Linked DNA regions of Macaca fascicularis. The protein of the gene in region 3 purifies or fractionates together with the protein of the main gene of each other region. This does not show direct contact. Links are inferred from orthologs where the notes say so. Each region holds a gene or a part of one and is shown on either strand. Other genes may lie near its edges.

The links.
Region 1: the proteins of POP1 (region 3) and RPP38 purify together in Homo sapiens (affinity purification with mass spectrometry; 3 studies listed by BioGRID and IntAct, with this or other methods). This does not show direct contact. The link is inferred for Macaca fascicularis from reciprocal best matches to the Homo sapiens genes POP1 and RPP38.
Region 2: the proteins of POP1 (region 3) and RPP25 purify together in Homo sapiens (affinity purification with mass spectrometry; 3 studies listed by BioGRID and IntAct, counting the BioPlex papers as one, with this or other methods). This does not show direct contact. The link is inferred for Macaca fascicularis from reciprocal best matches to the Homo sapiens genes POP1 and RPP25.

What each region holds. Positions count from the first base shown.
Region 1 is NC_088383.1:16,009,976-16,013,724, reverse strand, and holds the start of RPP38 (ribonuclease P protein subunit p38), read right to left. Parts: upstream 2,898-3,749; 5' UTR 2,843-2,897; exon of another isoform or gene 2,488-2,842; intron 1-2,487. UniProt on the Homo sapiens protein: Component of ribonuclease P, a ribonucleoprotein complex that generates mature tRNA molecules by cleaving their 5'-ends. Also a component of the MRP ribonuclease complex, which cleaves pre-rRNA sequences.
Region 2 is NC_088381.1:52,083,415-52,086,971, forward strand, and holds RPP25 (ribonuclease P protein subunit p25), read right to left. Parts: upstream 2,014-3,557; 5' UTR 1,825-2,013; coding exon 1,225-1,824; 3' UTR 559-1,224; downstream 1-558. UniProt on the Homo sapiens protein: Component of ribonuclease P, a ribonucleoprotein complex that generates mature tRNA molecules by cleaving their 5'-ends. Also a component of the MRP ribonuclease complex, which cleaves pre-rRNA sequences.
Region 3 is NC_088382.1:107,799,481-107,802,393, reverse strand, and holds the end of POP1 (ribonucleases P/MRP protein subunit POP1), read right to left. Parts: intron 2,781-2,913; coding exon 2,126-2,780; 3' UTR 576-2,125; downstream 1-575. UniProt on the Homo sapiens protein: Component of ribonuclease P, a ribonucleoprotein complex that generates mature tRNA molecules by cleaving their 5'-ends. Also a component of the MRP ribonuclease complex, which cleaves pre-rRNA sequences.

The DNA.
Region 1 (3,749 bases), on a different chromosome or scaffold from region 3:
GTCTCCGCATCCAAACACCACAGAGTAAATACTTAAAACCATGCTCCGGAGGGATCACAAAACAGGCTATAAACTTCTCCCGCCTGCAGAATCTGCTAGGGAGATAAAGAGAGCCAAGTAGTTTGGATAAGCATAATCTCATGCAATATAATCCAGAAACAAAATACTGACTGGTAAGATTGTATAGCTTTAGAGAAAGGGAGGAAAATAAGGCTTTGCTGAGGTCCTTTTAGAGCTGTGTCTCAAGAGGCGTCTGCTGCCTATAGATCAAGGGCAAACACTTTTTTCTAGACAGTCTTGCCCTGTCACCGGGCTGTAATGCAGTCGTTTGATCATGGCTCACTGCAGCCTTGAACTCTTGGGTTCAAGCGATCCTCCCACCTCAGCCTCCTGCTAAGTAGCTGGGATTATAGGCGCACACCACCAAGCCCAGAAAAGTTTTTTAATTTTTAAATTTTCTGTATAGGCTGGGCACGGTGGCTCACGCCTGTAATCCCAGCACTTTGAGAGGCCAAGCTGGACGGATCACTTTAGGTTAGGCGTTCGAGACCAGCCTGGCAAATATGGTGAAACCCAGTCTAAACTAAAAATACAAAAATTAGCCAGGTGTAGTGATGCGCAACTGTAATCCCAGCTACTTGGGTGGCTGAGGTATGAGAATCGCTTGAACCCAGGAGGCAGAGGCTGCAGTGAGCCGAAATCGCACCACGGCACTCCAGCCTGGGCAACGGGGTAAGACTCTGTCTCAAAAAAACAAAAACAAAAAAAAAAACAAAAAAAAAAAAACAACTCCGTAGAGACAGGGTCTTGCTTTGTTGCCCAGGCTGGTTTTCAACTCCTAGGCTCAGGCAATCCCCCAGCCTCGGCCTCCCAAAGTGCTGGGCTGCAGGCATGAGCTATCATGCCCCACCCAAACTCTAATGTGACATAAAAGGCCCTCCAACCTCCAGTCTCAATCTCCCACCAGCCTCTTTCTCCTTAGGCCCCACCAAGCACAAGACCTCAACACCGAACCACATACTATTTAATGAGGCCAGCATTTTCCCACCTTCAAGTCTATATACATTAGTCCCTCTGCCTGGAATACCACTCCCACCCTCAGCCACAGGCACCACCTTTCTGGATTATCCAGGATGTGCCAGGCCATAAGTAATTTTTGTCGCAGACCTCAGTGAGGTTACAGTCCACAAGGAAAAAATATCAGCAGGTAATTATACAATAAAGCCTGATGCACATGAAGGTCAGGGAACTACAGGATGCTTAGGGAATATCCAGCAGAGGCCTAGCTTAGTTGAGGGGGTAGGAAAAGGCAGTCCTCATAGAGGAACTGCTTTTTTTTTCCCCCCCTTTTGAGACGGAGTCTCATTCTGTCGCCAGGCTGAAGTGCAGTGGCACAATATCGGCTTACTGCATCCTCCGCCTGCCTCCCGGGTTCAAGCGATTCTCCTGCCTCAGCCTCCCGAGTAGCTGGGACTACAGTACAGGCGCGCGTCACCATGTCCGGCTAATTTTCTTATTTTTTTTTTAGTGGAGATGGGGTTTCATCATGTTGGCTAGGATGGTCTCGATCTCCTGACCTTGTGATCCAACCACCTCGGCCTCCCAAAGTGCTGGGACTACAGGCGTGAGCACTTAGTCTGGGACTAAGAGGAACCCGGCCGGACCTCTCAACCTACATCTAAACAATGCCAACCAAAGGGAGTATGGAGTAAAGAAAGGTATCTCAGCATTAAAAGAAAGAAGTTGACTGGCAAGGTGGCTCACGCCTGTAATCTCAGCACTTTGGGAGGCCCAGGCGGGCGGATCACTTAAGGCCAGGAGATCGAGACCAGCCTGACCAACATGGTAACCCGTCTCTACTAAAAATACGAAAAACAGCCGGGCGTTGTGGCGCGCGCCTGTAGTCCCAGCTACTCGGGAGGCTGAGGCAGAAGAATCGCTTGAACCCGGCAGGAGGAGGTTGCAGTGGGCCAGGATCGCGCCACTGCACTCCAGCCTGGGCGACTGCTATGTCTCAAAAAAAAAAAAAAAAAAAAAAAAAAAAAAAAAAAAAAAAAAAGCAAGTTCCAATAAGTTCAGTGTGGCTGGGGCAGAGATGCTAGAGAAAGCAGTGAGAAACTAGGAAAGGTGGGTAAGGACCAGATAATGAAGACCTTTGCAAGCCTTCCAGTGTGAAGCAACTTTAACGTCTAAAGCAGAGGCGTCATGATTAGAAAGACGTTATAGATCTTTGTGGATCTGGGCAAAGGAAGAATCCTTGAGCAGCAAACACGCCCCCGGAGTCGTCCAGGTTAGAAATGGCGGTGGCCTACACTAGAGACACCGCAGAAAGGACTGGAGAGAAATACATGTTAGTCGGAAAAGAAGGTAGAATCTCCCGACACAGTAGTGACCAGCTGGGAGTAAAGGTGAGAAGGGTATCGGTGGTGACTTCCGGTTTCTGGATCCCGCCGGTAGCCGAGGGGCGACGGCCGACCCAAAGCTCACCTCCCCACTGCACGCCGCCCCTGGATCGGTCCGTGTCTCCTTGGAGACCGTGGAGAACAGAACGGCCGGCGTGCGGTTTTCGCTTTGCACTCCTGGTGCCCAGACGGCGCTGCAATCCAGCAGAGGAGCCCGAGGAGAGGCGCGGAAGCTCTGGGTGCACACGCCTGGCCCGGGACTGGGTAGCCCAACCGAGAGGGCGGCGGGTTCCGCGGCCACGCAAGAGGCGTCGGGGAAGCAGCGGAGGCCTTGCGTGCGCGCGGGCTTCGGCCTCCAGATTCCGTGGAGTCCCAGGCCCGATGCCCCCGGGGCTGGCCTCCTGCCCTACGTGGGCCCCGCGCGCCCACCTGGAACTCACGGTGGCGGATCCGCCTTCACCTGAGGGTTGCAGCACCGGCTCCAAGTGCGCCTGCGCCGCGCATGCGCAGAGCGCTCGCCTCCCGGCTTCGCCTCCCAGACGCGACGGGGCGGAGCGGAAGCGCTAGGAGCACTGCAGGTTTCGTTATCCTGTGTTAGGTCACTCCGGAAAGGGGAAAGCAGCCCACAGCGTCGCGCGGCCCGGAAACAACACAACGAGGCCCCATCTTTTAGATTCGAGTTTAGGCCCCGGGGTGGAGGCTCCGGACTGGGCCCCCTACAACGGCAGTGCGCAGGCGCGAGGTCTGTATCGCGAGACCATAAAGTTGCCCGGGTAACCAGACGCTCAGGGCTTGGACCTTCTAGTTGTTCCGAGGCCAGCCTACCGCCAGTGGTATCCCGAGGGCAGGCTCTCTCCGGGCGTCTGTGCTCCCCTCTCTCTTATAACCCAGTTTCTACCTTTCAGTGCCTGGGAGTCTTAGCCCTCTATCTCTATTCCCTTTTCTGTATTTGCTTTGCCTCAGGGACGCACAACCCCAGCCCCTGTCCCAGTGAACCCGTCGCCATGGAATCCCTGCAGACTCCCCAGCACCACGAAAATCAAGATAAAAGGGAGAAGGAGTGTGGGGTAAAACACATGCCTATGGGCAATAATGCAAGGAATCTTGAGCTCCGAAAAGAGAAAGGCGATAGGAGTTGCCTTGAGTTCAGCAACAGCTGCGCGGAATATCCTGTCCGGTGTACGCTGTGGCTGCTCCAAGCAATGGAGGCTAAAGTTACCATCGGAGTCGCTGCAACGTCAGGGACAAGTGATGAAGCAGCCTAATAACATTTTAAAACTCAGGAATCTGGATCCGTTGATCTACCCTTGGCCAGAACTTAGAAGACGGCAGGTTGCTTCTGACCTA
Region 2 (3,557 bases), on a different chromosome or scaffold from region 3:
ATTTCCAGCAGTGGATTTGCGCTCAGTCTCTCTCCTCCCCTTTTCCCAAGGGTGTGCTGTCCTTTCTCAGAGAGAGGGCAGCGAAGGGGAGATCCTACTCACGGAGCTGGGGGCTTTGTGCCAGCCTTCTGGGTAAGGTTCAGTTTATTGTCTGGAGGCTGCAGGTTCAGGGACCTCAGCAGGGTCTGCCACCCTTTGCAGTGACCTCCAGGAGAGTTCATCCATGCTCTCCTTCCACTCCTTCCTTTCTCTCCCAGAAAAGCAATGTGCCACTCCCTTTCCCTTAGTGGTGATGTACAGGGGAGCATGGGCCCCCCATGGGCCACAGCTCCTGAGGCCAGGGCCAGCCCGGGAGGGCAGAGTGGGGGAGGAGAGAGGAAAAAGCCAGGGACTGGGAAGTGCCTTGCACCATTTTGAAGCTGTCCAGTCTCTATGCCTGACCCTGAAGACTCCAAAGGATCAGGACGCAAGGCTGGAGGGGAGGGGAGACACAAAGGGCCAGGCCAGAGCTGTCTCTGCACAGGCGGGTGGTTAGAAAAAAATTTGGGGACAGAGCCATTTTTGTGCTTGTTTTATTGGAAGCAAGACTCCAGTTGCAGGGCTGGGGGAGGAGGCCTGGAGGGTTCAGTCCTGGGTCTCCCTCTGGGCCAGCAGGGGGAAAAGGGGTGTTAAAAGAGCTAGAACCCTCAGAGATGCTCCTCTGAAGCAGGGGAAGGAAAACTAGAAAGGAAAACTGTCCCAGGGCGGGGAGTGGAATAGGACCCCCACATCTCAGACTCTCCTACCCTCAAGCAGTCAAGTCTCACCCCCTGCCTTCTCTGTCAACGGTGGGGGTGATTCCAATAACTCTTCTCGGCTTCCGCACTCCAGGTGCCCTTCGTGAATGCTGGGTGGCTTTAACCCTTGGGGGTCCCAATCAGGTTTCCAGAATCCCACTGTCCACCATTCTCCCCCAAAGAAGGTCCCAGAAAAGGTGAAGGTGAAGTTCCGTGTCTTCAGGCAACACGGGCATAAGCAGCAATCATCGCACGAAGTTTCCCTAAGGTCGTCGGGGATCCTCTCCTGCCACTTCTGGGGCCCCTCTCTTGTCGCCTTAAGGTCCATGCTATCTGCCTTGAGGAGCTGTGTCCAGGTTGTGGGTTCCGGAGGACCGAGGAGTGAAAGGCTGGAGGTGCATTTGAGGGTGGAGGCGCTGGCGGAAGATCCCGCCCACAGTCCGGAGTTTTAGGCCGTCCGATCCTCGTCCGCAGCCCCTGGCTCGGGTTGCGATCGCTTCGCGGAGCCTTCTCCAGCTGCGGGTTCCCCTAGGCTCCTCTTGGACGTTGGCGCGGCTGGCGGGGACGACGGACCAGGATCGGGGTTCGGGGGCTGGTAGCCGGGCTGTCGCGGATCCAGCGCGTCCTTGGAAAGTAGGATGGCGAGGCTGGGCACGTTCTTAAGTACGCTGAGACTAGCGACCGGCTCGCCAGGCGTCTGACCCTGCGTGGGCCCAGGCGGGAGGCTCTGCCACACCTCGCGCACGCTCCGGTAGCGCAGCCGCGTGACCTGGTGCAGGCCCGCCAGGCGGCGCTTGAGGATCTCGGCGCACGTGACGGTTTTGGTGGTGGCCCGGCCGCAGCCGCTGAAGACGATGGCGCGCGTGGCTGGCTGCGCCATGCTGGCGGTGGCGAAGGCCATCAGGTTCCGGATCTTGCTGCCTTCCTTGACCCGCATGTGCACCGCGCCCGGCGCCAGGTCTGCGAAGGGGCCAGAGCCCGGGCCGCCCCCCTCGGCCCCGCCCCCCGCTGGCGCCTCTTCGGAGCGCACCTTACGGAAGTTCTCCATGCGCCGTCGTCGCCGGGACCGCCGGCTTTGCCATGGGGCGGCCTCAACCCCGGGGCTGCATGGCCGCCGGTCTCGCCCTGCAAGGGCCCGCAGGGGTAAGGGCGCGGAAGCAGCTCGGACGCCGGCGGGCGGGTTGGGACGGCGCGATCTCGGCCCCACTTCTCTCGAGCGGGCGCCGCTCTACTCCGCGCTCTCGGCGCCCGGTGCTCCGCGCCTTTAGCTGAGGCCCCGCCCCTGCCGCCAGGCCCCTCCCCTGACCCGGCCCGGCCCGGCCCGCCCGGGCCCCAGCCTCACCAGCCTTTCGTGGCAAGTCCGGGTCCTCAGCTACGCGGGCGTGGGAGCTGGCGTGGGAGCGGGCGCGCTGCGGGGCGCATGGGCAGGTGAAGGTGAAGTTCCACGACAATCGCCATCAGCGCTCTCCGAGCCAACCCTCACAAACCGGCAGCCTAAATAAAAGCTGCGCTTGCGGTGCAAACACCAATTCAAACCCGGTATCCTAGCCCTTCCCCGTTGCAGTTGAAGGCCGCCCCTCGTCCCCTCCCAGGGAGAAATTTCCGAGAGGCTTGCTGGGGCCTCGCCCCTCCTCTCCCCGCTGGGGAACACCCCCACCTTTTTTCCGCTCCCAAGTATTCTTGCCTCAAGGACAGCTAGTGCGCGGTCAGCAGAGTGCGGGAGGAGCTGGCTGCGGCTCCACTCCGCGCCTCCCCTCGGGCGACTACGTCGCGGCGTGGTCCTCGCGGGGCGCGGGAGACCCAGGCTTCAGCCTCGCCACGCCTGTCTAGAGCTCGAGGCTCCCGGACCCCCGTCCACCCCTGGGACGTGAGGAGTGAGGCTTTGGGCCAAGCTGTTCCCCGAGGCGCGTGAGGAAGCGGGCGAGACCTCTTCTGAAAAGGCGGTAGGCTCGCTCCACCTATGCCCGAGAGCCCACCCTTAGGGCTGCGCGCTTTAGGGTGAGCCAGGCACGATGCCATGCCAACGTGGCCGCCCCTTTCCTCCCAGGCGAAATTCGATCAGGCAACCTTGGCCCCTTGAGATCCAGTGGGTCTTTTTTCGAACGGAGGCTGGGTGAACGCAGGTTTTAAGAAAGAGAAGGGAGGGGCCGGGCTCGGTGTCTCACACCTGTAATCTCAGCACTTTGAGAGGCCGAGGCGGGCGGATTACTTGAGGTCAGGAGTTCGAGACCAGCCTGGCCAACATGGTGAAAACCCGTCTCCATTAAACATACAAAAATCAGCTGGGTGTGGTGGCGCGCGCCTGTAATCCCAGCTGCTCAGGAAGCTGAGGCAGGAGAAGCGCTTGAACCCGGGAGCTGAAGGCTGCAGTGAGCCGAGATCACGCCACTGCACTTCACCCAGGGTGACAGAGTAAAACTATGTCTCAAAAAAAAAAAAAAAAAAAAAAAAAATTAATTAAATAAAAAAGAAAGAGAAGGGAGGGAAAGCCCATTCTCCATGATGTGATTATTATGCATTGCATGCCTGTATCAAAACATCTCATGTACCCTCTAAATATAGACACCTATTATGTACCCACAAAAATGAAAAAGAAAGACTTTAAAAAAATAAAAGAGAGAAAGAAGGGAGGAAGATGGGGAGTTGAAGCCCTGGGGGCATTATAGAGCTACTGGATGCCTCTCTTCGGAAACTCCTCGGGACCGAAGGAGAGGCCCGGGGTCTCCTGCCGGGTGAGAGAAGCATTAGAGAAAGATGAGATTGGGGCTGTCAGGACTACTG
Region 3 (2,913 bases):
AATTCAGCTGCCAGAAAGTAAGCCATTCCCCTATCAGTCTTTTTCATAAGGAACATGGATTCTTTACTGCCTCTGCAGATTCTGTTAGTTTTTCAAAGTATCTTCTGTGAAACTAGTTTTCTCTGGACAATAGGTATGCAAAAACCAAAAAAGGTACGTGTGTGGGGTCTGAAAGACAGATTTCTTTCCTAAAGAGCTTTGCAGAGCTTTGACTATACAATTATTCATTGTGAATCGCAATAGGAGGATACCATATATAGCTTTTCCCAAATTTATTTAGCCATAGAACACTTTTCTCCAGGAACAGCTGCAGGGACTAGTACTCCCAGGAATACATTTTGGGAAATACTAGTCTATCTTTCTGGTGCACAGCTCTTTGACCTACCACCCACAAGGCAGAGTGGCTGCAAACGTGCCCTGTCCTCTATAATGAGGGCAGGGCTGCACAGAATGAGGTTAGGTGACCACGCAGCACACTCAGACTTCTGTCATCGAGTGAGCTCAGCCACAAATGAGGTGACTGAGAGCCCAGAAAACAAATAAGGAATGGTCCAATAAATATTCACAACTGAACATCAGGTGACATTTTCATTTATTCTGTTTACAGGCGCCACGTAGTTACACTGGTTTTTCTCGGTCTCATCTGGGTTGGATCCAAAGACATTCAGAGGCATGGTGAGAGGCAAAGCATCAGACATCTCATTGGTGGCAGGTACTTTCTGACTACTGTACCACCTGCCGTATCCTTCCCCACCTCATCATCCCCAAAGCTATTTACTGCCAAACGCTACAGTAAAAACCCAATGCATTTACATAAAATAATGCCTAACTGCACATTTACAATTTTTAGAAAAAAATCCCGCTTATGCTCTTCTAGAAATTTATGGCAGGAAAGTTAAGGACCAAGGCTATGAGTGAGCCGTATGTGGCAACTAAAAGTAGATGAGCACTGAGTTTCTCCATTCGTAGAAAAAAAGTCACACTGAGCCCACTCTTCCCGTGGGGCAGGATAACACCTTTCTTTTATACCCTGTTGAGAATCTCAGGTGGACAATGTGACTGCATGAATGCCGAAAGGCAGCTTGCCGGCTTAGTTATCACCTTGCAGAGGTAGCTATGCACTACACAGCCACACTGCCCAAAGCGCGCTCCTAAGAACACTGGTCCTACAAAGTGCTCCTTGTAAGAGAACTTTAGGAATCAAAGTATTTAGAAAATACTATACACTATCATTCCCTTCCTGGAGATCAACAATGTACAGTATCACATGGAAGTTTCCAGAAGTCCTTTCATAAAGAAATGCTTAACTTTAACCCAGAGTTTCCATATCAACCTGACCTTGGAATCTCTTATTTTTGGTGGTGACACATTTCATAGAACACAATCTGAGAAATGCTCCTCTATGGCTTTGAGAAATTCTTTGCAGAAACAAAACAATAATAATTTTTTTACTTAAAAAAATTAAGTAACTAGTAGGATCATGTGTTGGTCAACAACAAAGAGATCAAAGAGTCAGGAAGTCCACGTCATAGACCCCCCCTTTCTAATTCCAGCCTAGCACTGTCGCCATAAACTTTGCCTGCCTGAAAACAGGTAGCAATCAGTTGTCCATGATTTCTCCCTTTGAGTTGTTCAGCATGGTAATCACAGTACAGAATTGAATGTGGCCCATCAGGGGCCCATATTTCATGTCCAGAGGCCAAGCGTCTTGTCTTGTCTTCTGTTGTAACAGTGAAATCATTAAACATCTATTGTTGCTTATCACATGACTACAAGGTTTTTCAAATAGACCTGACAAGCCCTTTGTTCCTAACAAAAAAGGGGGATGATAACTTGTAGAGCTTCTAATTATTTTCAGCCACAACTACACAGACCAAGAGATCATAATACAAAGCTTTTGGCCCAATAATTTAAAAGTATTACAGCAAGGACAGGGAAAGATGGAAATCAATGACATTACTGGAATGATGTAAACATTTTATCATCTGCATAATACATAATTTTTTATTCTTGTTTCCAAGGAGTTTCACATGATGTTTTGAAGCAGAAGCAGACTCTCCACATGTGAAACTTGGCAGACAATAATAACGTATTATCTATGCCCTGCTGGGATATAAGCGCACGTTCACACCTCAATAGCAATCCTCGCAAATCGATATTGCAGAGAGGCGGGAGGCCTCAGTAGCACTAAGCCCCTCTGCACCGCCGGCTGGCTGGACAGCATATCCAGCAAGCCTGTCAAGCTAACAAACCCCAGGGCTTCTCCACAGCCAACAGCCATGGAAAAATCTCCCTGAGTCACAAAGCCTAGGAGAGTTCTGGAGCAGTGCATCGTCACACGCGGCAGAGGGCCTGACCACAGCCCCAGAGTCAGAGCTTCCTGCCCAGCCACGGGCTCTTCCCACACTGGGCCATCAGAAGAGGCGCGTCCCGCCTTCTGCCTCTTCTCCCTTTTCTTCTTCTCTTTCTGTTCCAGGATCTTGCTTCTGAATGGGTCACTGTGTTTGGATTCCTGGGGCCCACAGTAATGCCAGTCCTCACGGAGCTGGAGGAAGTCCTCCTTGGCTGGGACGCAGATCATGGTGTGAGGCTCGGGGCTGCCCTTGCTGAGCAGGGACAGGCTGACCCACACCAGGGCCCTGGGGAAGTGGCCCAAGATGGACAGGCAGGCCTCTCTGGTCAATCCTTGCTGGCCTCTGCCAGGAGCTCGCCGGGCTCCCCGAGTGTCCTCAGAACTGGGCCCACACCAGGCTGACAGCTGCTTCAGTAATTTTCTACTCCTACATGAAGTTGGAGACATACGTTTGAGGATATTTTGTTCCAGAAAAAAAACATACAATCAGAAGATTAGACACTGCTAGAATTAATTTGATTCTTTTATACTATATAAGAATCAAAACTACAATTTTTAAA